Macaca mulatta: one gene and its partners. The protein of the gene in region 3 purifies or fractionates together with the protein of the main gene of each other region. This does not show direct contact. Links are inferred from orthologs where the notes say so. Each region holds a gene or a part of one and is shown on either strand. Other genes may lie near its edges.

Region 1 (3,982 bases), on a different chromosome or scaffold from region 3:
TGGCTGGCCTGGCCCCAGTCAACACCCTAGGCACTCCCCTACCTCCAGGCTTCTGCACAAGCTGTTCCACTTCTGCAGTCCATAACACCAACCTCTTCCCACTGGCTGTAGAGAAAACTAAACTCTCTGACTCCCATCCCTCCTCACAGCCAAAGGCATCAGCCCCTCCTCCTATGATCATGGTTCTCCCCTTCCAGACAAGTGCCTATGTTCACAAAGACTTTCAGGGCATAAAATATCCCCTTAAGGATGTGGCTGCTAGCCTCATCTTTGATACAGTGTCTTGAAAGATTTGTTGAAGGAACAAATGATAAATAAATGAATGAATGCACATATAAAATATCCCTGTGAGGCCGGGCACGGTGGCTCACGCCTGTAATCCCAGCACTTTGGGAGGCCGAGGCGGGAGGATCACCTGAGGTCAGGAGTTTGAGACCAGCCTGGCCAACATGGTGAAACCCTGTCTCTACTAAAAATACAAAAATTAGCCAGGCAAAATGGCAGGCCTCTGTAATCCCAGCTGCTCCAGAGGCTGAGGCAGGAGAATAGCTTGAACCCAGGAGGCGGAGGTTGCAGTGAGCCGAGATAACGCCATTGCACTCTAGCCTGGGCTACAGAGCGAGACTCCATCTCAAAAAACAAAAGAAAACAAAACAAACAAACAAACAAAAAACAGCCCGCAGGACCTCCATGGGGGCAGGGGCAGCTTCTAGCCTCTGAACCTAGGGTGAGAACTGTATCCCCAACATCCAGAATCAGTACTAGACTGCAGGGCAAGCTGACTGCTCCATAGCTGGAAAATAACTCTAAGAGGACAGATCCTGAGTTGCCCTAGGCCACACCATTTCTACAGTGCTCCTGACATAGGTGCTCAGTACATGCTGGTTGATGGAGCCAGCCAGTTCATATGCCCAGCTGAAATATATGCCCAGACACTGCATTGAAACTCTGCACTTCTCTTGGTTAATTGCACCCTTGACAAGCATGCAAATCCTTTAAAAGGATCCCCCTGCCAGAACCACCAAGATCTGGGCTTGTGTCTGTACAAATTCCTCAGGAACTGTCCCTGGCTGCAACAGGAAGGAAGGAGGCGCCAGAGTCTGGGGGTACACACGCATGTTTGTCCAGAAACCTTGATGGATTAGCAGAGGGAAAGCCAGGCCAAGGGAGAAGCCTTGTCCAAATGTCCTGGTTACTCATTAGCCAAACCTCAGAACTTCTCTCTGCAAGGGGGGATCAGAGGGGCAATTAACCCATTTGGAAGAAAGGTTAAGCTAAATAGCTCTCTAATCCTGCAGTTTCAAAGACAGCAAGTAGGGTTTCTGGAATCTTTAGATACTGTAAGGCAAGCACAGGGGATGGGGCATGGGAAAGGAGAGGCCATAGACTGAGGGAGGCACTGATACTTATAGAGCCCCTACCTGTTTCATACCCTTCATTCCGATCCATCCTGCCAGTCTCCTAGAAGAGGGAGGATGCAGACCCTCCTAGGCCAAGCTCATTTTGCCCAGAAGGTCCCTATCTGGACTCAGATAAGTGTTCTGCCCAAGGTCACAAAGAAGGTGCAAAGAAAGTGTTTTTCTTTGTGCAACAGGTACAGTCTTTTCCCTTCCAAAAAATAATGGCTGCTCCTGGCTACAGAAAGTTCAGTGCCGGCGGGCAGGAAGCCCTGGCCACCTAGGCATCGCGCGGCGGAGGTCACACGCCTGCTTCGGGACTGGACGAAGAGCAGGGTTTTAAGGCGCGGCGCCCCCACTCCCAGGCAACTGTGTGCCAGGAGGGCGTGAAAAGGTCTGGCTCTGGTGGGGGTCAACGAGCCGCTTCCCATCCCGGGAGCCCCACCCGTGAGACCGGGTGGGCCGCGCCGCCATCGGGGCGGGGATCACGCGGGCCTGCCTGGGAACAGGGGGACTGAGGCTTAATCTCATCAGGGCGCCTCCGCCCTGGAAAGACGAGCGGAGCGGGGCGCAGGCCAGGCCGGGAGGACGCGTCCAGAGCCTCCGCGTCCGAGGGGCCCCGCGCGCTGCCCTTCTCACGCCCCCCGAACCACCCCGCCGTCCTCCGGGCTCCCCTCGACCCAGACTCCATCTCGCTCGCCGCCCTAGCTTCCCACTGTCCACCTCCGGGGCCTCCAACCCGCACAGATGTCCAGACCCTAACAGCTTCAGGCTGAGTAACCCAGATCTCCAGCGATCCCTCAGCTCCCGGCCACCGGATCTCTCTGAATCCATTCGCAAGGCTCAGGCTAGCGTGGGAGGAGATTGATCCTCTCGCTCCCAGTTCTGAATCACCCTCTGCCGTCACCCCTGACTGGGGATCCAGTGGGACCCCAGGCCTCCAGCGCCCGATCCCCTGCAGGGATCGACTCCCAAGTCGCCAACCGGGTAGCACGTGATCCATTGGCTGCCCTATGCGGGATCTTCCCGCGGGATCCACTCTCAAGTCTCGGGAGACGGATTCCCCGGCTCCCAAACCGGGATCCTCCCTCCCCGCAGACCCGGAGTCTGGGGAAATCCTCCCGGTCCCCGCCTCTTCCCCAGCCAACTTTGCCAACTTTTCTCCCGGGGCCTCGGCCGGGCAGAAACTTGGCGGCCCTCGCCCGCCGCCGTCACCCCCAGCTACCTCGCCGGCCGGGGACAGGAGGTGACCAGCCGGCCCCCATTCCCCACAGCCGCTGCGCAACCTACCGTGGAGCCACCTCCAGCCCGCGCCGCGCCGCCACCTGCCCGCAGCCCGCAGCACCTGCCCGCTGAGCCCGCAGCCCCGCGCAGCCTAGCCTGCTGGGGGCGGGGCCTCGGGTGGGGACGCGCCCCCGTCACCATGGGAACTGCGGCCGGCCGCGCCTGCGCGGAGGGGAACAGAGCCTGCAGGACCCGAGGCGGCAGTGGCGCCTGGGCCTGAGACCTCTCCGGCGGGTCAGAGGTCACGACTCGCTGGGACACCCCTGCCGGAAGCGCTCCCGCCCCTCGAGGCCCGACCCGGCTCTGTCCAACTGGGAACTTTGCTCCCGGTCCCCTCCCGCGTCCCCTGGATGTTCCCCAGTCACCAGCCAGGATTCCCCGCCACCGGCACCGACCCGCTGCCCAGCCGGCGACCCCGAAAGCCTAATGCAACCCAGAAATTAAGGAGGTGCTCCATAAATGTGGGCCCATTGACTTGCCTGGGCTGCTGGTGCCGGCCCGGGGGGCGGGCAAGGTCTGTGCGCGGTGCTGGCGCCTCCTCGCGCCAAGCAAGGGGACTGCACCCGAGAGTTCCCTGGGGCGCCTACTGTGTGCGAATCCTCCTGCCATTGTGTTGTGGATTTGGGTTGTGGGGTAATGGGTATAGGAACTTGTGACAAGTTGAGAGAATCGTAGGAAGTCGCCTCTGAAAGAAAATACCTGTTCTGTTATCCTTTACTCATTTCATTCAGCAGATCTTTATTAAGCACCTATTGTATACCGGGTCCTGGAGACCCAGTGGTGGGCAGCTGGCAAAATCCAGGCTGTTGTGCAGCTTACAGATATTGAAACAAATAATTTCGCGAGTATATCGAATTGACTCTGTGACATGTGCTCCTATGGGAAATGTACAGAGCATAAATAACTGGAGGACCTAAAATCAATGTGCCTTTATTATAAGCAAGATAGACCTCAATAAAGCTGAAAAAGAAAAGGATATCACAGGCTGTGCGCGGTGGCTTGTAATCCCAGCATTTTGGGAGACCGAGGCGGGTGGATCACCTGAGGTCATGAGTTTGAGACCAGCATGGCCAAAATTATGAAACCCCATCACTACTAAAAATTACAAAAATTAGCTGGGCGTGGTGGCGGATGCCTGTGATCCCAGCTACTCGGGAGGCTGAGGCAGGAGAATGGCTTGAACCCGGGACGTGGAGATTGCAGTGAGCCAAGATCGCACCACTGCACTCCAGCCTGGGCGACAGAGCAAGACTCCGTCTCAAAAAAAAAGAAAAAGAAAGAAAGAAAAAGAGAAAAGAAAA
Region 2 (3,500 bases), on a different chromosome or scaffold from region 3:
ATCCACAGTAGCAATAAGTTTATTTTTAGGTGTTGCAAATTTCTGGAATCCGATTTTTAAAAGGGAAAGAGACACGGATATACTTTTTGGGGGCCTAAGCATACTTTTTGTATTCAAAACAGCAGTAATCTGGTAAGAGTAAATATCACCCTGATGCATTTCTTACTTTTCTCACATAGGATACCAACTCTCCAGAATAGTACTGCGACACGCTGAGCAGATCCGGGCTATTTGCCTGATTAATACGAAGAAGGGGCAGATCCAGGGCAGAGGCAAGCTGGAAGAAAAATAAGGCATATCTGTTTCTCTGTTTCAAAAAGAGTCCTAGAAATCTTCTTTTCCAGAAAATGTAACATACAACAAAACATTTGGGTTTTACCCAACAGAGGGCAACAACCACTGAGTCTCATCAGTATCACTAATAGTTACTGACAATACAGTTTTTGAAAAACCCTAGTTAACTGTAATGGCAGTGGTTCTTAAACTGTGCTCCCTGGACCGCTAGCTTCAGCATGACCTGGGAACTTGTTAGACATGCAAATTATTGGGTGCCACTCCACACTGACTTAGTCGGACACCCTGGGGGTGGGGCCCAGCAATCTGTGTTACAACCAGCCCCGCAGGTGATTCTGATGCATGCTCAAGTTTGAGAGCCACCGTGCCACAGAAGATAGCTACTCCTGTGTGGAAATCAAGACATTCTGACTGACGCACTACTGAATCCGTCCAATCTAATATGCCGTCAAGCGTAAGATGTGCCATTATTGGCCGGGCGCGGTGGCTCATGCCTGTAATCCCAACACTTTGGGAGGCAGAGGCGGGTGGATCACAAGGTCAGGAGATTGAGACCATCCTGGCTAACACAGTGAAACCCCGTCTCTACTAAAAAAGACAAAAAAATTAGCCGGGTGTGGTGGCAGGCGCCTGTAGTCCCAGCTACTGGGGAGGCTGAGTCGAGATGGCGCCACTGCACTCCAGCCTGGGCGACTGAGCGAGACTCTGTCTCAAAAAAAAAAGAAGTGCCATTATTTTATATGTCACTCAGAAAAAAATTAAATGCTGACAACTAAACTATGATATGCCATCAACGATAAAACCTACCCCCAGTTACAGGAATGTTAAAATATGAAAAAAGTTGTAGTAGCCAGGCGCATGGTGCACGCCTATAAAGCAAGCTACTTGGGAGGCTAAGGCAGGAGGATCGCTTGAGCCTGGGAGTTTGAGATACAGCCTGCGCAACACAGTAAAACCCCATCCCTCTCACCCCCACCTCCCAAAAAATGGTGCATCTCAGAATTGATATATATGGTACATGGTAGCTCTGTCAGAAGACATTGAGTAGACTGGGCTTGGTGATTCACACCTGTAATCCCAGCACTTTGGGAGGCCAAGGCAGGAGGAATATTTGAGGTTAGGAATTCAAGACCAGCCTGGCCAACATGGTAAAACCCCATCTCTACTAAAAATAGTAAAAATTAACTGGACATGGTGGTGAACGCCTATAATTTCAACTACTTGGGAGGCTGAGGCAAGAGAATTGCTGGAAACTGGTAGGCAGAGCTGCACTCCCGCCTGGGAAACAAAGCAAGATTCCATCTCTAAATAAATAAATAAATAAATAAATAAAAGAAGACACTGAGTAGATTCTTTGTTCATTTACCACGAAGTGAAATTACTATGAGAGCACGGGCTGCGCCTATTTTTCACCAATATTCCCTGTTATTGTAGATATTAATACTAGTTTGTAGCAGAGGCTCAGTAATTTTTTGAATGAATAAGTAAAAGGACTTAATTCATGCCTAGGGAATAAAGGACACAAAAGACTCACATTTTTAGTACACAGATAAAACTACTCTTCACTTAAAAATAGCATTCTTGAAGATATTCCAACTTATAAAACAGTATTCCTGAAGACATTCCAACTTATATTAATTAAAACTTTAAATATTTCTGGCATCTTTGAAACTATGATCTCATGGAAAAACTGCTAACAATTTCAGTCTATAAAAATATTGAAATTATTTACCTTCCTAAAAGGATAAAATCTTGGGCTGAATTAATGAACGAGGTATGAATGAAGGCCAACTCTTTCCTAGTAACAGAGAATCTCACTGTGTTTTGCTTACCTTTAGGAAGGTAGCTCTGAGTTTAGTAACCATGGATGGATTTACCCTTATGCTTTCTTGCATGATAGATGTGAAACTGTAAAAAGAAGAGAGATGGTAAGAAGATGTTCCCAGGGCCTTTCATCTATAGCAAATGTCAGCACTGCCTACATTACCTGTCAATCAACTGCCAAGCAAAAGAAAGGTCCCCAACGATCTGCATCGTGATCAGAACCTCCTCTTTAATGTTAATGGTTCTGATCATCTGATGAAGAAACTTTCGAGTATCGGCAAGAAACTGACATACTTGCAGATTGGATTCCAACTGGTGGAATTCTTGAACCTGTGTTACAGAAATACACTTAATTTAAAAACCCTGAATGGACCCTGTGGTGCTCATTTGTTCTTGAAAACACTTCAAATAAAGCACACTACTTCTGACGATTTCAGTATTAATTATATCTCTAAAAATATATAATCATATCAATTAGATAGGGTTATAGATTATGAGTAAAAATGATGTTTTGAATAATGGAGTTGGCCACGTGCGGTGGCTCATGCCTGTAATCCCAGCACTCTGGGAGGCTGAGGCAGGTGGATCACCTGAGGTCAGGAGTTCGAGACCAGCCTGGTTAACATGGTGAAACCCCATCTCTACTAAAAATACAAAATTAGCTGGGCGTGGTGGCAGGCGCCTATAGTCCCAGCTACCCGGGAAGCTGAGGCAAGAGAATCGCTGGAACCCAGGAGGTGGAGGTTGCAGTGAGCTGAGATGGCGCCACTGCACTCCAGCCTGGGTGACAGAACTAGATTGAATCTCAAAAAAAAAAAAAAAAAAGAGTTTATGGTTATTTTTCTGCTGCTTTTAGTTATCATTTTAAATCTAGTTAAATACACAATTAAAATTTAAGAGTGGTGAGGTATAATTTTTTTCGTACAATCATTTATGAGTTGAAAGAAAAACAATAAACTACTTTTTCAGAAAAGAAAATATACCACTTACAAGCATATGATCATTATATAATTATTATTATTTTTTTTATGTATTCCTTTCTGGTTTTTTTCCCCAAGGCACACACTTTTTTACAACCCTAAAAATGGTATACACATGCAATTTTGTTTTTGCTTTTACCTCCTTATCACAATTTGCCCAATGCTTCTATGTTATTTTTATAATTATGTTTCTAAGATTACATGTTTCCTCAAGTTAAAATATTGTAATTTTTGCTACCATTCTCTTCATACTAGTCATTTATTTCCCCAAATTTAGGACACTATCTGTTACAGGAAACATATTAATTCACATTGCTTTTACTTCTGATGAAATAGTCTCTCAGATATATTTACAGGAACAGACTGCTGGGTGGGTCATAAGGTGTGATTCACGATCCAAGA
Region 3 (3,963 bases):
CTGGCTAATTTTTGTATTTTTAGTAGAGACAGGGTTTCACTGTGGTCTTGAGCTCCTGACCTCGTGATCCGCCCGACTCAGCCTCCCAACGTGCTTGGATTACAGGCGTGAGCCACCACACCCGGCTGCCATTCTTACACAATAAAAGACTAGTCTATTCTGTGCAATCATTATTTCAGACTGTTCTAAATTATTTTTGATAAATCTTCCATCTCACAAGCAAATCACCTTACGAACACTTGCATATATTTTCAGTAATGCATTCCAGACTAGAACAGACAGGAAACTGATGACTTTCATGGGATAGAAACTCATGATGGCCTGATAGAACTAAGTTTGTCAATTAGATCTAGTATTTAGTTCACCATCATCAAACTTTCAAATATATATATTTAAAAAAGGAACAGATAATTAATGTTACCAATTCATTTTCTTTAGGAATCCCAATGTGTCAAAACTTGTGTTTTAAAACTAAAAGAAAAGATGATTTAGCCAAAATGTCATATTTTCATATTATATTCTCAATGCTTTCAAAGCTCAACAGTGATTTTAAAAAGAAATTAAACAACATGCTTTCATTGAATTTTTAAAAATCTATACAATTCAAGCTAACGAAATATTTTATTGTACATAATAAAAGTGGTGTTTTTCTAAAAAAAAAAAAAAAAAATTTCCAGGCCCAGACGTCTGTAGGAGTATGTGAGGAAAGGATTCCACTCAAGTATAATAAGCAATACTCTATTGAATGAAACCATAACTCCGCTTCACTCCCTATGGTAAATACTAACATTCGCCACAGGCTTGAAATTCCTGTAGCATCAGTAGAACTATTTTTTAAAATATTACAAACATGCTTATGACGCACAGGAGGATGAAAAAATTTAGACTGTAACCACACACCATATGTAATCCCAGCTTTTCTAATTTACAACCAGTTAAGAATTACAATATCCAAAGAAAGTATTTTAAAATATATATGCTCACTGGTAAGTGATTTTCTACTCAAATAAATAGGAAAATTTGCATTTTAATGTCACATTGAATTTCAGTACTTTTCAATCCAAGAAAAAAAAATAAACCGAGACATGGTTATGAGTTAAGGATTATATATATTACAATTTGCCTTGTTATAATACATTTGTGGCTTTATGATAAAAATAACTCAGGGACATATGGAATTCAAGCTGATTTGCGTAACTGTCACAAGAAAAAAAGCATTAAATGCATTTCTGAAATAAGTATTTTCATTTAATTTCAGAATCTCAAAACAGCATTAGACCTCGCCTTGTTTAAAAAAAATTTAGTTCAACACTAAGCTAGCTAAATAACCTTCTTGAAAGGTTTAAACACAATTGATATAGAAAATGCTTTCCCTCTAATCTCAACCTTACATAAATGGAACAGGTGAGGAAGAAAAGGTAGACAATTTCTTTAGCAGCATATATGGCTAAATCCATCAACCACCTTAAACTAGAATGTCCATTATTGACCCCATTAAAAAGAACTGGGGAAATATCAAAAATTACCCATTTCATAAACCAAAAGACAACAATTTTAGGGTTACAGTTAGTAAAATATTTTTGAGACACTTCAAAAACTTTTAACCATAAACTAGAAGAATCATCTCTTCTTCATTGTTAAGAAAGAAAGGCCTAACAGAAAGACATTTAAACTAAACTGATTTTCAATCCTCTTAGAACAAACAAAATGAAAAATAATGGTTGATTAGCTAAGCTTTGTGCTCTAATCAAACTAATTAATTACAGTGATTTTAAATGGCAACAGCCCATCTGACTGGGCAGCTTGACAGTTCAGAATACTTTTGCAATAATTTTTTAACGCAAAGACACTAAAACGATCCGGTCATGCAATGTTCATCTTATGCATTCTGCATCTCTTTGCCAATCTTGTAGCTAAGGATCTTGTTCCAATCAATCTTAGTGCGTGTAACTGGCAACTGTCGACGTAAGGCTTTGAAAGTAGTGTCCGACATTGTCTGATAATTCTCACTGATGGCAGTCTATGAAAAACAATAGTTAGAAGTTTAAAGTAAAGCAAAAGAACAGAACAATTTATAAAGCATATAGATGTTTTCAGAATACATTTTATTTAAGCAGCCCATTTCACTGTTTTTAAACAGTCAAATAAAAAAAACCCAACATTTTGTTAAGGCAGCTAGAAGAAAAAGCCATAATAATTTTGAATAATTAAACTTAATGAAAATTATAAATTAGATGTAATATTTGTGTCCTCGTTTTGAATTTATTTTAGTATGTCAGAACAATTTATGGATTATTATTTTTAAGGAGTAGAAACTTGTCTAATTCACAAATTAAATGCTTAAATTCAAGAGTGTAGTTTAGAAGCTGATAAATAACAAAAAGTAAAGCACAAAATGAAATGTGATCTAAGCAGATTGCACATAATCCAAATGGTAAGACACAGCCTGAATTAAAATTTTCAACCAGAAAAAAATAGCCACTTAAAAAGTCTGGCATTTTTTGACTGATGCAGATTGAGCACCCCTAACTGAAAAATCCGAAGTTTTCAAAACTTGAAACTTTTTGAGCATCAACATGACGCTCAAAGGCAATGCTCACTGGAGCATTGATGCAGATTTCTAATTTTCAGATTACAGAAGCTTGAGTGGTAAATATATAATAAATATTCCAAAATCCAAAAAAAAATCTGAAATCTAAAACACTTTTGGTCCCACACAACTCAGATCAGCGATACTCAATCTGCACTCAGAAATTACAGTTGGCTAAAACCTAGTCTTTTTTTTTTTTGAGATGGAGTCTCGCTCTGTTGCCAGGCCAGAGTGCAATGGCACGATCTCGGCCCACTGCAACCTCTGCCTCCCAGGTTCCAGCGATTCTCCTGCCTCAGCCTCCCAAGTAGAACCCGCCACTACAAGCACATGCCACCACGCTCAGCTGATTTTTGTATAGAGACGGGGTTTCACCATGTTGGCCAGGATGGTCTTGATCTCTTGACCTCGTGATCCACCTGCCTCAACATCGCAAAGTGTTGGGATTACAGGCATGAGCCACCGTGTTCGGCCTAGTCTTAGTATTTTTAAAATACAAAATATTAATGGAATTCAATTTACTTGCCACTCTTTTTGCCTACACTTTAATAAGTCTGCCCTTGTGTTAAAAGTAGACACACAACAAAAAGACTCTTACTGATGCAATGGAAAAATTCAGCCTTTGAATGAAATTCAAATTTCAGTGCTATTAATTCATACGTGAATGTAGCTTATATAATATTTAAAAAATCATACCTGGTATTCATTTTCTGCAGCTTCTACAATCTTTATAAATTCTTTTGCTGTTTGCACTTCATTCTGAATAAAAAAAAATAAAAATAAAAATTGTAATTTAAAACTAAACCACTATTACTTTAAAATATATGTATGGTTAATGTAATGTTACAATAAATAACACAGAAGGAAATTATGACAAAGAACAAATATTGTAAGATCAATTATTCTAAGTCTAAGGGGGAAATAGGTAAAATTATTTTAAAAGTCTACAGAATAAGCTGGTGTCAATGTTTAGCTGGCTAAGGAAAGTGAACTCTCATTGATACACACATTGATGAAAAGTTCAATTTTAAACACTGGACATGCATTCCAATAGACAACCTTTATGGGTAACAAGTTTGGTAAAGATTTCTAATTGATGACTCTTTATCTAAATATTGTTAAATATTTATGAACATTATGTAACAGAACAGTGATACCAAAAAAAAAAAAAAAAAAAACACTAATCAGGAAGAATGTATTTTTCTGGAAATTTTTTTTAACATGCCAATAGATGGGTTTGTTTGCTTTTTCCTAATAGTAAAGTTAACAGAATCTGGATTTAAAAAATGAAACAGTGTTAATGTAAAATTCTCTAACACCTTATACTTTATATATATGGTGTAAAAATATAAAACAATGAAAACCTCCTAAGA
Region 4 (3,500 bases), on a different chromosome or scaffold from region 3:
GGTGGGAGTTACAGAACTACATAAATTTGCCAAAATTCAAAGAACTATACACCTAAAAGGGAAGACTTCTACTGTACAAAGTATACCTCATAAATATCCAACCAAAAACCTCTGCTCTCATTTTAGTTTTCCTACCACTTATTTTTAAAAAGAGAAGCTTTAGCCAGGCCCAGTGGCTCACACCTACAATCCCAGCACTCTGGGAGGCCGAGGCAGATGGATCACCTGACATCAGGAGTTCAAGCCTGGCCAACATGATGGAACCCTGTCTCTACTAAAAATACAAAAATTAGCTGGGTGCAGTGGCACGCGTCTCTAATCCCAGCTACTCGGGAGGTTGAGGCAGGAGAATCGCTTGAACTCCGGAGGTAGAGGTTGCAGTGAGCCCAGATCGCACCACTGCACTCCAGCCTGGGCAACAGAGCAAGACCCCATGTCAAATAAAAAAAAAAAAAAAAAGCTTCAGGCCAGGCACAGTGGCTCACACCATAATCCCAGAACTTTCAGAGACCGAGGCGGGAGTTTAAGAACAGATTGAGTAACATGGTGAAACTCTGTCTGTACAAAAAATACAAAAGGCTGGGCATAGTGGTATGCACCTGTGGTCCCAGCTACTCAGGAGGCTGAAGTGAGAGAATCACTTGAGCCCGCGAGGTCAAGGCTGCAGTGAGCCAAGATCGTGCCACTGCACTCCAGCCTGGGTAAGAGTTAAGACCCTGTCTGTGGGGTCAGGGAAGAGACACTTCATAGGAAACCTATCCACTTACCTGTTTTTAAATCTATCTAGTGCAGCAATCCCAAAATAATACATTTTGGATCCAAAAGGCTTGCGTAAGGCTTCAAGAACATATCGTAGAGCCAGACCTAGTGCCATGTAAGTGACCAGTCCTTTCTCAATTATACCACCAAACAGGCAGGCTGTTATATGTAACTCTTTATCAGGATACTGGGGAAAAAAACGATATTCTTCAAACAAGTTCCTTAGCATACAGTTAAACACTTCTCGTTCCCTCTTTATAGTAGAGTCTTTAAATCTCTGCAGCATTTCTAATACCTGGAAAAGCAAGACAAAAAAACAACGCACACATAAAGGAAACAATTACTAAGTGCCTTTCTCAAATATCCTTGACAAAAGACTGTTAAGTAGAATATTTACCAAAAGAGCTTGAGACAAATATTAAGGTTTCAAAACACACATTGCTATATCAGAGCACTTTGAGCTGGATTTCTAAAAACACTGAAAAGGACATTTATTTAAGACTGGCTTAAACAATAAATAATCGGATCATCCTAGACACTCACCTCATCAACAGACATGGTTGGATGTGGTGGATGATTATATATTCGCTGAAAATAGCTGTTTGCTTCATCATCTATCTCTTTACTAAAGTGCTGGTTTGCCTCTGGCCACACCTGAGACAAGTCCGCTGTTGGAAACAAAAAAGGCATCAGTGGGTATTTAAGCCCTTCTTCCACTTCCCCATAAAACACAGACAGCCAGAGACTATTGCAGTTCTAACTTTAAGGGAAATATAAAAAAACTGAAAAGGGTATTAAGTGGTCAAGTTTCAGTATTAACGTGTTCTAGGGTAGACATAAAAGATCCTTAACAAAGTGCCTTCCATAATTCTACATTAGTATTATCTTCATCAGGACTCATTACAACACAAAAGTTAACTTGGTTCAAACTCATAATGCACTTACCCTTAATACAACCTCATTAAGTTAACAAATCTTTATCACTTTATAATAAAAATCACATTTAACATATAATTATCATGCATGTGCATGAAAGACTGATGTAAACACAAAGCATGCTACAAAACATAACATTCAGACAAGACTTTCACACTAACATTATCAAGTCAGCTGGAATACTTTCAAATCTCGTGTCATGACTACACAGTCCCAATGACAAGGACTTCAGTCAATTATACCTATGGATTTATAAAGATGACTTCTATGAATTTAGTTAGGATAAAAAATCACTAAGGAGGTGAAACAAAAATTGGAAACAGAAATCTGAAATTTTCCTTGTCACTCCTGACTTGCTTTAAAAAAAACTCAACACATGTTTAGGTTAAGTACAAGAGTTACATTCATTTATCTACCACATATTAATTTCTCTTTATCTTATCTATTTCTTACTTTTAGGACAAACACCCTCAGGATGCAGCCTCTTACTAACCATGACTTTGTTCTGGGAATCCACAGCAAAAGTGGATTGATATCTCTAACTTTTATTTTAATAATTCAAATTTGTGAATTTATTCCCACTGGTCTAGAAGGCACATCAACATATGGCCCTACTAACACAAATGAGACATACAACTAAACATTTTTATCAGTCACACTTCACAATCACAGACAACACTACCACTTACAAGGTTTCATCTTACTCTGCTGGAATGTAGGCTGATTCAGTCCAGAGGTGCCCAATTTCCTCTGTACAAAAGGGTCGTTATTCACTGCAGGGAGTCCAAGAGCACCAGTTCCTATACCAGTCAGGCTGCCTGTGCCAAGACCACCTACTAGAGAGAACGAAGGCAGCCACAAATCCTATCATTATTCATATTCTTGATTTTATTAACATCTCAGATGTATTAATAAGACTGACTTTTAAAATAGTCATAATAACTCTTACTTTAAAAGTCAGAGCCTTTGTTAATTCCCTTATTACATCTATTCAATTTTACAGAGCCTACAAACTAGGCAGTAACAACAGATAATCCAAATTTCTTCAGCATCTGGAATTATTTATATTCTTGATAATGTGCAAAAAATTAAGTATACATTCTCGAAGCACATACTCCCATACCCAAGGTAGTTAAAATAAGGAGGTGGCTAGCTTTTCTCAATTATTCAAATCAGATAATTTCATGATACCATCTTTTAAAGTTACCATGAGTCTCAAAACTTCTTTATTCCTCTCAACTCTGACAAACGGAATCTTACAGTAATTAGAGCTTTGCTAGGAAGGCCTTAGTAAGTTCAGTAACGTTTATTTAAATGAATTAATCATAAAAGCCAGAAGCACAGAGCAGCAATGTTAACTAGATCAGAGTCAATGATAACACTGAAGTCCTTAGGTTTTAGTGCCCGAACTTACAGTGTCAACATAACAGGTACAGGGGGCTAAGAAGATGTAGGTAACAAACAACCACAACCACCAAAAAAATGTAGCTTTTACTTCAATGTGAAGTTACATGCCACGGTATCTGGGAAAAAAACTGAAAACGTGGCCAGGTGCGGTGGCTCACGTCTGTAATTCCAGCACTTTGGGGGGCCAAGGTGGGTGGATCACCTGAGGTCAGGAATTTGAGACGAGCCTGGCCAACATGGTGAAACCCTGTCTCTACTAAAAATACAAAAAACTAGCAAGCCATGGTGGCCGGTGCCTGTAATCCCAGCTACTCAGGAGGTGAGGCAGGAGAATCGCTTAAACCTGGGAGGCTGAGGTTGCAGTGAGCCGAAATAGCGCCACTGCACTCCAGCCTGGG
Region 5 (3,500 bases), on a different chromosome or scaffold from region 3:
CCCTCAGTATTTGGTTTGCTTCAACTCAGTATGCTTCTCTCTCCCAAATCACTCCCAGTTTCTGAAGCTATGCTATGCATTCACGATGGTGACCACTTATCACTGCTCCAGGTTACACAATAAGGACCTAGGAAGAATCCGGGAGGAGAGCTGTCTGACACAGGCTCTAACTGCACACAGCTATGTGTGACACACCTTGAAGGGCAGAACACTTGGAAAGGGAGATGCAGTTCCTGTAAAACCAACCATCAAAGGGAAGGGGGCCGCCCTGTGTAGCCGGAGCTGTGGTTCCAGAAACAGCCCATGGCAAAGAAGGAAGAGCTACAGTGGGAAGGGAAAACTGGCCCCTGACTAGGGGAGCTATGACATACTTCCCCCTTGTAAGTCCCCAATGGCAGGACATTGCATTCTCTCTCTATTACTAATCATACTTTACACTGACACAGCATCTGGACTTTTAAAGGTGTTTCCTCATTCAACAGCTCCTTGGGAACCCCCTCTTTCTCTCCCGGGTTGGGTGGCCTGTGTCTAAGAGCTTTCACTCTCCCAGGCTTCTGACAACAGTTCCAACCATGGTCCCTGTGGTGGCTGCAGCCTTGTGTACACTGGGTTACTGTGGTGAATGAGCCTGCTAAGGGTGCCCACAGGTCAGGAGTGAGCCTCCCTGACTCTACCAACCGGCTGGCAGTATCACTCGAGACCGTGGGATGGTCACACGAGACACAGGCAACAACCGAAAAAGGGGAGCCCTAAGGGGAGTTTCCTCCAGAGCAGGGAAGCCCAGGCTGAGTTTTCATCCCTGTTCTCTGCAACTGCACAAGAAGCCACTGCGCGCTCAACAATCGGCCTGCCTCCAGGGGCTCCCGGTCTGCGGAAACAGGAGGTGGACAGTGCCTGCGGTGAGCTGTCCCTCTGTCTGACAAGCACAGCAGTTCACCGCATGCACCTGCACACACCTGCCTGTCCCAGTGCACACAATGGGTTTGCTGCCAAGTGAGTTCCACCTAGTTCCACATCCTCCTGCCATGTTCCCTCAGGGCCTTGTCCGGGACAGAAAACGTCACGCAGCCAGCCACACAGAAAATGGAAGGGGGGCGGGGATTGCTTGCCCACGCTGACCTCCAGACTGAAGCAGGTCTGGCCTCCCAGCCCATGGCTCCCGGCGTCCCCGTCTGCGCGGCGGTGCAGCTCCCGTGCAGTTCGGAGGCGCAGGCTCTCCCGCTCGTCCCCTCGGGCCGGCCCCAGCTGCCACTCTAGCTGCTCTCTCAGTCTGGACTGTTAGGTGCACGGGAGGGATTTTTGTTTTTTTAAAATTTTAAACAAACAAACAAAAAAAACAAAGGACAAGAAGGTGGAGGCAGGGAGAGGGGATAAAGAAAACAAAAATGGATAAGGGAGACGACTGAGAAAACGACCAAAGAACAGCACAAATAGAAACACCAGCTTAAAGACAGCGGTGGACGAAAGTGAAGAGAACAGACCCAAGATGAGAATGAGCAAAAGGGCGGGTGGACACATCCGAAAAGCAAAAAGAGAAAGTGGGGGTGCAAAACACTGGTTACGGGGCACATGCGATGGCGATGCGTGAATCCGGAACTCAACCGCAAGCACGCTACCCGTGAAGGAAACGGAAAACGAGGCTCTTCCTTCCTTACTTGTGGGTCGAGCAGCCAAAGCCACAGTCCAGGGCGGCAGCTGGGCCATGCACCCAGGCGAGGCTAGGACAGCAGTCCTCGGAGGCCCTCCGCGCCCTCCCCAGCGGCGGCAGGGCGGCACGAGCCAGCAGCGCTTTTCCACCAAAACCATCCTTCTCAGCACCGCGCTCCTCGCCCGCTTTGGCTGATCCTCCAGCGGGAATGGGGGCCTGGGCTGCCTAGGGCCTTGGACTGCACTGTGTCCCTTGAAACACACCCAGGAAGGGACGTGCTTGGTAGCGAGTCTGCTAATTATCCTGACTGTGACATGCGTTTGTCTTAGCCTCCTCACGGCTTCTTCAGCGTGTGGCTGGTTGGTTGAGATACCAAGAGAGGAGCAAGGCCGGCCTGCGTCGAGCCCTATCGCTTCCACTGGGCTTAGCCTCGTGTCTGGGAGGGCCTCTAAACCATGAGCCGTGGCGCAGTTAAAAATAAGACAGGAAAAAGGAAAAAGAAACAAGGCAATACAAGAAAACTTAAAAAAAAAAAACAAAAAACAAAAAAAACGGAGCCCAACCAAGAGAGAGGATCCGGTTGCCCCGGAGGCTTTAGTACAATGCAGGTTTGAAATCATAACCAAGCAGCCGTGAGCAGCGTGAGCCCGAGTGCAGCAATGCCAGCGAGAAGGAGGAAGAGCAAGGCGGAGCAGGGAGGCGAAGCCACGAGCCCCCTTACCTGCAAGTCTGGGCCCAGCTCCTTCCCCAGGTTCCCGATGGGGGAGTCCCGGGACACGGAAGTCACAGTGGAGAGGAAGCTAGAGGACTCTGTGAGGTGGGGCAAGGGGGATAGGCCATCCCCAATGCGGTTCACCTGCTCCAGGAAGGCCTGAAGCTCTTTCTTGAAAGACTTCATCTTGGCGTTGATGGTCCCCAGCAGGTGAGGCTCCTGCTGGTCCCCCTCGCCCCGCTCCTCTTCACCCTGGAGGCCAGGCCCCGGCGAGGGTGCACCCCCCTGCAGCCCCGCGTCACGGAGGAAGCTGTCGGTGTCCGCGATGAGGTGCTCCACCGTCCGCTCTAGCCGCTGGGCCTCGTGTTTTAGGGTCACTAGGCACTCGGAGTCCTCCCGGGCCTTCAGGAGCTCCGTGGCGCACGGCTCGCTGGCCTCCGATGGCTTCCCGCTCCCGAAGCCCGACGTCTTCTCGAACATCTCCTCCGAGTCACTCTCCCCGCCAACAGGGCCTTCCCGCTTGGGCTGGGGCAGGCGGCTCTCCTCCCCTTCACTCTCCTTCTTGCCTGCATCGCTCTCGACATCGCTGTCCCGGGGACTGGGGGCACGCAGCCCCAGGTGCGCTGCCAGGTCGCAGCGCTGGATGTTGGACAGCAGCGCATGGTTCTCGTGCTGCAGTTTGAGCACCTTGCCGCTGAGCTCGCTGATCTGCAGCCTGGCTGACTTCAGCTCCTCCTGCAGGGGTGCCCCTCCCCCGGCACCAGGACTCGCACCCTCCCCGAGCCAGCCCGGCTCCCGGGGAGGCTCAAACTTAAACTTGCTGAGCTCGTGGGTCAGCTGCCGGTTGTGGTCTTCGATCTCGGAGATGGACCTCCGGAGCAGCTCCGCTTCCTCTTCCACGAACTGCAGGTGGCGGCGGAGCTCAGTGGAGGACTCCAGGGAGTCGCCGAAGGGTGAGGTAGGAATGCTGGGTGCGTGGTCCCGGCCCAGGCCCTCCCGCTCCTGCTGGCCACGCATGTCCTCCATCTCTGCCTTGAGGCCACGGTTCTCCACCTCCAGCTCCACGATCTTCCGGCCCAAGATGTTGGCTTCCTCCTCCACCAGCTTCAGCCGCAGCTTCAGCTCGGCCTCCCGGGTGCT
Region 6 (3,500 bases), on a different chromosome or scaffold from region 3:
TCACCCTCACCTAACTGGGAGTTGGGCATTGTGGCCACCGGCCCTAATGTACAGATGAGGAAGCTGAGACTCAGAGAGACCAAGTGTCTGCCATACGTGAGGGAGGGCACATACTGGTAAGAGGCAGTGCTGGGACGGCTCAAGCTAGGCACTGTCACGTCCCCCGGTGCCTTTTGCCTGGGTCCCATGGCCTTCCTGCTTCCTTGGCACCTCTGGAGTGGCAGGAGGAGCACCCCGTCCGTGCTGTAGCCACTCCTGCGACTGCTCTGTAGCTGCACTGCACCTCAAGTCCTGCTTTGAGGCGAAACCCTCTCTCCCCTCCCGACTCCCACATGCCGAGATGCCTCAATAGCCAGATTCTCAATGTTCCTTTTCCCTTTATAAAGCAGGTGTTCTGGACCCCGAACTGTGGCCTCTGAGGAGATCCTCAGATGAGCTTCGGGTTGAGTGGGTGAGGGGTTCCAACCACCTGAAATGGTAGGAATAAGGCTAGGTACATTCTGGGGGAGGTCTAAAGGGGGCTCTGTGAGAAGTCCTGCCTTGAGTCGTCTATGGGGCCTCTCCCGTCTGTCCTGAGAGGACCCCCTTAGGTTCCAGTTTCCTCCTCCCAGCCTGGGAGAAGTTGACCTGGGGTCTGTGTGGGGTTGGAGGGGACCCTGCCCGCCCCACTGAGAGGTGAGTGACGGCTCTTGACCTTTCTCTTGCAGATTTCCAAGCCCTGGATTCCCTCAAGTCCAGCCCCTTCCTCAGAGAATGGAGGCCCTGCCAGCCCAGGCCTCCCCGCAGAAGCCTCAGGCTCAGGCCCTGGCTCTCCCCATCTTCACTCACCCGATAAGAGTTCTCCCTGCCACTTGCAGCTTCTGGAAGCCCAGAGTCCTGATGCTTCCCAGGCTTCTCCTTGCCCCGCTGTGACTCCATCAGCTCCAAGTGCAGCCCTGCCTGAGGAGGGCTCCCGCCACACCCCCAGCCCCGGGCTCCCTGCTGAGGGGGCTCCAGAGGCCCCCAGACCCAGCAGCCCTCCCCCTGAGGTCTCGGAGCCCCACAGCCTGGATCAGCCCCCTGCCACCTCGCCCCGGCCCCTGATCGAGGTGGGTGAGTTGCTTGATCTCACTCGGACGTTTCCATCTGGCGGGGAGGAGGAGGCCAAGGGTGACGCACACCTCCGCCCCACCAGCCTGGTTCAGCGCCGATTCTCTGAAGGTGTGCTCCAGTCACCCAGCCAGGACCAGGAGAAGCTGGGGGGCTCGCTGGCTGCCCTGCCCCAAGGCCAGGGGAGCCAGTTGGCCCTGGATTGTCCCTTTGGAGCAGAGTCCAACTGGAGCTTATCACAGTCCTTCGAATGGACCTTCCCCACGCGGCCCTCGGGTCTGGGCGTGTGGCGGCTGGACTCCCCGCCTCCCTCCCCCATCACTGAAGCCAGTGAGGCTGCCGAGGCTGCTGAGGCTGGCAACTTGGCTGTTTCCAGCAGGGAAGAAGGAGTGTCTCAGCAGGGGCAAGGGACCGGGTCAGCTCCAAGTGGGTCAGGAAGGCCTAGTTCCTGGGTGCAAGGGGATGATCCAAGCATGTCCCTCCCCGAGAAGGGCGATGGGGAGAGTCAACCTCAATTCCCAGCTGTTCCCCTTGAGCCCCTACCTACAACTGAGGGCTCACCTGGGTTACCTTTGCAGCAGGCAGAGGAGAGATACGAGTCGCAGGAGCCCTTGGCTGGACAGGAGTCCCCTCTCCCCCTGGCTACCAGGGAGGCAGCCCTGCCCATCCTGGAGCCGGTCCTGGGGCAGGAGCAGCCAGCACCCCCTGACCAGCCCTGTGTTCTCTTTGCTGATACCCCTGAGCCTGGGCAGGCACTGCCTATCGAGGAGGAGGCCGTGACCCTAGCCCGGGCCGAGACCACCCAACCCAAGACAGAGGCTCAAGACTTGTGTAGGGCGTCCCCCGAGCCTCCGGGCCCTGAAAGCAGCTCCCGCTGGCTGGACGACCTCCTGGCTTCACCACCACCTAGTGGTGGCGGTGCAAGACGGGGAGCTGGATCTGAGCTGAAGGACGCACAGTCCCCAAGTACCTGCTCTGAGGTGAGAAGGGGCATAGGGAGAGTGGGACTTCTGGGGACAGAGGCCAGGGCTTGGGTGGGCTTCATTCTTTGAACATGGATTTTACGTGTTAAGAGCTTGGGCTGTGGTAGCGAGCAAGGCAGCTGTGGACCTGCAGATCGTAGCTCTGCAGAACCGCACAGGACGGTGTGTGGGGTTTCGTGTGAGGCTGTATCCCAGCTTCAGCATTCGCTAGCTGATTGGTCTTGGGAAGAATGTGCCTTAACTGCTAAGCTTCAGAGTGCTTTCATGATAGTAGCGCCGGCCTCTTAGAGTTATATTGTGGGTAAACAAGAGGGGGAAAGCTCTCAGTACAGTGTGTGGCAGGTGCTGAGTATTCAGTCTCTCATTATGGGAATATTGTTCAAGGCAAAATAGTGTAGCCATTTAGAGCGTGGGCTCCTGGGTTGGTCTCCTGGCTCTGCTTTCCTTTGCCCAGGTGTGACCTTGAAAGAGTGACGTTTCTGCCCTCTGCCTCAGTTTCCACATCTGTAAAATGCGGATAAGATGAGCTCTACCTCCAAGGGTGTTGGCAAGGGTTCAATGAGCTGTAATGTCTAAAGTGCTAAGAATAGTGCCTGGTTCATCCTAAGTGCTTAATACGTGTTGGCTTTTACAAACGTTATTAACATTGAGCTCCAGACCTGCTTTGTAGACAGGCAGCTGGGCCTCAGAGGAGGCGAGCCTTGTGCAGTTACCCAGCAAGTTGGTGGCTGGGCCCGGGCCAGCGCCGTTTCCCGGCCCAGTGCCCTTTCTCCTACCAGGCTGCCTCTGAATTTAAGGGCCGGGGGCCAGGTGGCTTTTGAAATTTATTTCTCAAGCCGGGCCTGGGCTGTAAGGGGCGGGGCTGCAGGAAAGGAGGAGCCAGGGGGCCTCTGGAGGTTAGGGGGCGGGGAGGAGGAGGAGCAGGAAGGGGTTAAGCTGACTCCTGCAGTAGGTGTGTCTGTCCCGGGATGTGGGTGACTCAACTGGCTCCTGGGCGGGGCTGCCCAAGCTGCAGCTGCTCCGAAGGGAGCAGGGCCAGGGTGAGGGAGAGCCAGCGCTGCCAGAGCCGTCGGACAGGTCCCAGCGTGGGGAGCAGCCCAGCCCTATCCCTGCGCCCGGCTGGCCGCACCCAGCAGCCCCGAGGCGGGCGGGGGGCGGAGGGCCATGGCCCAGCCTGGGGACGGGGAGGCCAGCATGTCTGTCCTGGAGCGGCTGCTGGCCAACGCTGCGCTGAGGGATGAGGCTGGCCGGCTCCGAAGCCCTGAGCCCAGGGCTCTCCCGCCCACGAGGGTGAGTCAGGGAGCGTGAGGTGGGGGTTGGGGTGCAAGAAGCCCTGGCTGGGATTTTCCCCTGTGCTAGAAGCTGCCCCTCCTGTCTTTCCTGGGCCGAGGTGAGGGCTGAGAGGTCTTCCTGGGGAGGATTGAGCAG
Region 7 (4,015 bases), on a different chromosome or scaffold from region 3:
TCACAAAACAAAAAAGTAAAACCAGAAAATAATAATTTAGGAAGTAGTGCCATTTTCCTTCTGTAGAGATGCTAGTTAGATTAACTTTTCCATTTTAGATCCTTAACTGGTCACTTAGGAAGTGATGGTATTAAAAATTTTACCTCAGTATTTTTAAAATATGTTGTTTTACAATATACATATATTCCTATTGAATGTTATATGTAAACAAATGCATATTTTATCAACTATTGTGGTACTTTTAATACATAAGCAGAAAACAGAAAACAAATTAGATTTACTTCCAGTTTGTGAAAGAACAAGTTACTTTTCCAAAGCAAAATATTTTTAGATATTTAAGAAATTAGGCCGCTGGAATATTTTAACATATTCATTTGTGACTGAGTAGCTATAATAGTAGTAATTGTCCAAATTCAAATCTGCCTGATTTAAAAGATTCTCCCACTCAACCAGATTCCCTGTTTACAGAATTATTTTTAAAGGATCAATTTGTAGTTTGTTATATTCTCAGAACTTTCCCAAAACAAGAAAGGGTGATAATCATTTCTGTAGCAAAGGTTGCAATCAAATGGAGTAAATGGGAGTTTGAAATCCTTTGTTTGTATTTAAAAACAAACTTTATTGAATAATTCACAAGTAACTTTTTTTTTTTGATAATCACCTGTTTAGTGATTTCCATTCCAGAGATGGAAGCACTGACATTAGAAATGGACTGTGGTGCAGAAACTAAGACACAAAAAGTAAAAGAGGAAGAAGTCACATCAAAAAACATCTTTCTGTTTCCCTGATAGTCACATAATTCAGAAGGAAATCAGGGGCCCACAGGGACCTGCACAAAATATGAGGAATCCAAGTTACTGTAAGGGAAGATTTGAACTTGCTTCACATTAATAGTTCAAATCACTGAGAACACACACTAAGTTTAAAAATACAACGGCCACCACTAATCCAGGAACAAAAAATATTTTAAAATATTTAACTAACCATTTTCAATAGATATTTTCAGAAGTCTGTACTTTCCATTTCTGGCTCTGGCAAAGATCTCTTTAACATCTTCACTCGCTGTGGAAAAAGATAAAGAAAGTAAACTTTTTATACTTACATATAAATACTTTCCTATCTATATTGAAAAAATTAATTAGAACACAAAGAAAAAATCTGGAGCATGTAGCATCCTTATTATCAGTATTATAAAACTTTACCGCATAAAATAATGAAGACTGTATACAATTAAGAAATATAAATATTAGCATTTTAAAAGTATGTTAATAATTCTAATCTGTTTTAGCTATATAATTCTGTGCAGAAATAACACTGGGGTGAATATACTGAAGTTACTCAAACCCAATAATGAGCAAATTACAATTTTGAAAAACTTTTATTGCTCCTTTGAAAAATATTGAAAACCTGCTTTCATTCTCTAATTCAGTTTCAAGCTTATGACACTCCTTCATCAATTCACTTTCTGTATTTTCCCGTTAAAAACAACAGTAAATATCAAATATCCTAACTTGATTAAAGAAAAAGGCAGTAAAATGCATTGTCTTAATTCTGGTTATATTTTTCTAACTTGCATTTCTCAAAAGCTAGATTAAAATCATTGAATAAATATGTATTTAATAACTAACGCTTGTGTTCCTATTAAAGCTTCGATTTCGTTCTAATTTCGTTCCTGTGTTGTCTATTAGCAGCAAGAACCACTATGTAAGTAGGTAGTGCTTGCTATAAGGCTCAAGCATGAGAGTCAATAACGACATATTTATGTATCGAAATTAATGCGGATAAATAAAACAACGCTTTTAGATTTGATACTATTTTGCTTCTGCGTGCATGCAGGGGGTATGTGGCGTGGTGTCAAAAATCTTTAAGAACAAAACATACAATTAAGTGTTCATCTGGGAGAAATACTCGCTATTAACAGTAAAAGCTTGAGTTTATACTAGAACTCGTTAAGTGATCGCGAGTAACCCGGGGATATATTATTTGACTCTTGATGAGGTGAGCACCTCCAGGCTGCCCAATTTCAAACCAGGAAATAATGGAGGTCAGATATAACTGCACATTGAACTGTCTGCACGCATTACATGCAACTATACAGATCAGTTTCCCTTGGGGAGTACCTAGGAAAAAGATCAAAACACAAACACGCTACACTCGAGATTTCTCAGAACAACTCTCACTTTCCTATTTGGGGAGAAAGTGCTGGAGAGTTTTGGGAAGCACCCCTACTGATGTGAGAAAGATTCTGGCATGTTTCTTTTCGTAATCAAAGTCCTGTAATATTCTCCTTTGGATCATGAAAAGGAAAACTCGCCTGGCTCTCGACAGCGTAGGGAAGCCCCAGGCGCCTCCACTGTCCCAGCTCTTCCCTACCTGACCAAAAGGGGGAAAGTTGGGCTAATGTCGGGGACGGTGGAAGGCACGCCCCCTTCAACCAGGCCGCCTCGAAAGCCAATTTCCTTCGCTCCCCCGAATTTCGAGTCCATCTGCAATGTGGCGGCAGCAGGAACCGGGCTGGAGGAGGACGCAGGCCGGGAGCGCCCAGGAAGCAGGAGCGCGGAGAGGCGCCGAGGCCCGGCTCGCCCCGCGAGACCGACTTCCGGAGGTCCAGGCCAGACTCCAGCCCTGCCCGTCCTGCAGCCTTCCGGGCTCTTCCGAGCCTCCCGGGAGCCCCTTCCCTGCGGGTCGCGCCGGGCTCTGTTACCTTGGATGCCGGTCTGGTGGGACATGGCGGCGGCCGCTAGTTCCCGGCTCCGGCGCTGAGTGCGGCGAGCGGCCCCGGCCGGCGGCCCCAGGAAGTGGCTGCTCCTCCGCCGGTCCCGGCGCGTCATCCGCCCGCGACCCGGGGCCGCCCCGCCCCGTGAGATTGACTGAGTGCCCGAGCGCCCCGACCGCCCCACCGCCCTTCCTGGCCGTCGGGCTGCAGTACAACCCCCGGCCTTGCGACCTTAGCTCTCTGTTTGGGGTCCTGCTTCTGCTCTTGCCGCCGCCTCTCCCGCTTCTCCCTGGGGGGAAATGCCGCAGAATCTACACAGCTCCGTGCTCCGACGTCTGCCCTCTGAAGATCGCGCCGACGCCGCCATTCGCTGCCTCAGCGAAGGGATGTTTTAAAACAGAAATGATCATTTTACCAAATAGGCATTTTCAGCTTAAAAAAGATGTGCACATTATCTTTCTTGGTTTACTCTTCCTATAATCGATACCGTTTAGTGTAGAAGAGCCTTCTCCTTGCTCCACTGTTTTGAAAGAATATATTATAGACTGCCTTTCATCAAATTTTTCCACGATTTTAAATTGAGTTAATCTCAGACTGTTAACTTTTCTTTTCAGTTGGACACATTTAGAGACTCACTGTATCTTTCTCTTCACTCCAAAAAGAGACAGCCACTAAGAGATTAGCTGATTTGAGTATCCCTCTGTGGTCGATTATACCATTGCAAATCCTGCTCTGCTTTAGGTTGGCAGTTTATTATTTAATCCAATAATTATTCAAAATTCACTTGGACAGATTTGTAAGGTAACAGCAGGTATTACTTTAAAATCTTTTCCATTCCTGCTTTTACAAACATATAGTTCCTGAAAGGTAATGTTAGTTTTTGGGGGAGTTTGGGTTTTTTTGGTACTGCTTCTCTACTGCTACTAGGTGAGAAGCTAGTTATTATTTTTAGGGCCTTGAAGTCACACATATACAAAATTATAATCTAATGAACAAGTAATTTATTCAGGTCAATAATATAAGTGCGAGTTAATCACTATTCAAATACTATACAATGTATTTTTAATGAGTAATTCACAGGCCTGCAATTGTTTTTCTTTACAAGGATCACAGCAAACAAGGTTATGGTCTATTCCCTGTTATCTGAGCTCTGTTTTTCAGACATATTCTTATATTCGGTAATAAACTAAATCTGAGTTTTATGACTTGTATGGATTTAAGAAATGTAGGGAGGAGTTTCATTCTAACCCAATTCTTCCTGACACAATGGTTCGCCCTGATTTACCAGTTTTTTACTAC

Evidence for each region.
Region 1: the proteins of CAPZA2 (region 3) and KIAA1671 purify together in Homo sapiens (affinity purification with mass spectrometry; 3 studies listed by BioGRID and IntAct, counting the BioPlex papers as one, with this or other methods). This does not show direct contact. The link is inferred for Macaca mulatta from reciprocal best matches to the Homo sapiens genes CAPZA2 and KIAA1671.
Region 2: the proteins of CAPZA2 (region 3) and WASHC5 purify together in Homo sapiens (affinity purification with mass spectrometry; 3 studies listed by BioGRID and IntAct, counting the BioPlex papers as one, with this or other methods). This does not show direct contact. The link is inferred for Macaca mulatta from reciprocal best matches to the Homo sapiens genes CAPZA2 and WASHC5.
Region 4: the proteins of CAPZA2 (region 3) and CNOT1 purify together in Homo sapiens (affinity purification with mass spectrometry; 3 studies listed by BioGRID and IntAct, counting the BioPlex papers as one, with this or other methods). This does not show direct contact. The link is inferred for Macaca mulatta from reciprocal best matches to the Homo sapiens genes CAPZA2 and CNOT1.
Region 5: the proteins of CAPZA2 (region 3) and MTCL1 purify together in Homo sapiens (affinity purification with mass spectrometry; 3 studies listed by BioGRID and IntAct, counting the BioPlex papers as one, with this or other methods). This does not show direct contact. The link is inferred for Macaca mulatta from reciprocal best matches to the Homo sapiens genes CAPZA2 and MTCL1.
Region 6: the proteins of CAPZA2 (region 3) and TNKS1BP1 purify together in Homo sapiens (affinity purification with mass spectrometry; 4 studies listed by BioGRID and IntAct, counting the BioPlex papers as one, with this or other methods). This does not show direct contact. The link is inferred for Macaca mulatta from reciprocal best matches to the Homo sapiens genes CAPZA2 and TNKS1BP1.
Region 7: the proteins of CAPZA2 (region 3) and TWF1 purify together in Homo sapiens (affinity purification with mass spectrometry; 3 studies listed by BioGRID and IntAct, with this or other methods). This does not show direct contact. The link is inferred for Macaca mulatta from reciprocal best matches to the Homo sapiens genes CAPZA2 and TWF1.

Annotation. Positions count from the first base shown.
Region 1 is NC_133415.1:26,385,773-26,389,754, reverse strand, and holds the start of KIAA1671 (uncharacterized protein KIAA1671 homolog), read right to left. Parts: upstream 2,801-3,982; 5' UTR 2,688-2,800; intron 1-2,687.
Region 2 is NC_133413.1:135,492,380-135,495,879, forward strand, and holds part of WASHC5 (WASH complex subunit 5), read right to left. Parts: intron 2,449-3,500; coding exon 2,282-2,448; intron 2,203-2,281; coding exon 2,127-2,202; intron 278-2,126; coding exon 167-277; intron 1-166. UniProt on the Homo sapiens protein: Acts as a component of the WASH core complex that functions as a nucleation-promoting factor (NPF) at the surface of endosomes, where it recruits and activates the Arp2/3 complex to induce actin polymerization, playing a key role in the fission of tubules that serve as transport intermediates during endosome sorting.
Region 3 is NC_133408.1:156,451,281-156,455,243, reverse strand, and holds the end of CAPZA2 (F-actin-capping protein subunit alpha-2), read right to left. Parts: intron 3,350-3,963; coding exon 3,287-3,349; intron 2,021-3,286; coding exon 1,880-2,020; 3' UTR 501-1,879; downstream 1-500. UniProt on the Homo sapiens protein: F-actin-capping proteins bind in a Ca(2+)-independent manner to the fast growing ends of actin filaments (barbed end) thereby blocking the exchange of subunits at these ends.
Region 4 is NC_133425.1:54,167,935-54,171,434, forward strand, and holds part of CNOT1 (CCR4-NOT transcription complex subunit 1), read right to left. Parts: intron 2,532-3,500; coding exon 2,385-2,531; intron 1,428-2,384; coding exon 1,303-1,427; intron 1,055-1,302; coding exon 768-1,054; intron 1-767.
Region 5 is NC_133423.1:79,818,082-79,821,581, reverse strand, and holds part of MTCL1 (microtubule cross-linking factor 1), read right to left. Parts: coding exon 2,370-3,500; intron 1,276-2,369; coding exon 1,120-1,275; intron 1-1,119. UniProt on the Homo sapiens protein: Microtubule-associated factor involved in the late phase of epithelial polarization and microtubule dynamics regulation.
Region 6 is NC_133419.1:16,092,702-16,096,201, forward strand, and holds part of TNKS1BP1 (182 kDa tankyrase-1-binding protein), read left to right. Parts: intron 1-707; coding exon 708-2,069; intron 2,070-3,500.
Region 7 is NC_133416.1:50,804,599-50,808,613, forward strand, and holds the start of TWF1 (twinfilin-1), read right to left. Parts: upstream 2,801-4,015; 5' UTR 2,730-2,800; coding exon 2,705-2,729; intron 1,063-2,704; coding exon 985-1,062; intron 1-984. UniProt on the Homo sapiens protein: Actin-binding protein involved in motile and morphological processes. Inhibits actin polymerization, likely by sequestering G-actin. By capping the barbed ends of filaments, it also regulates motility.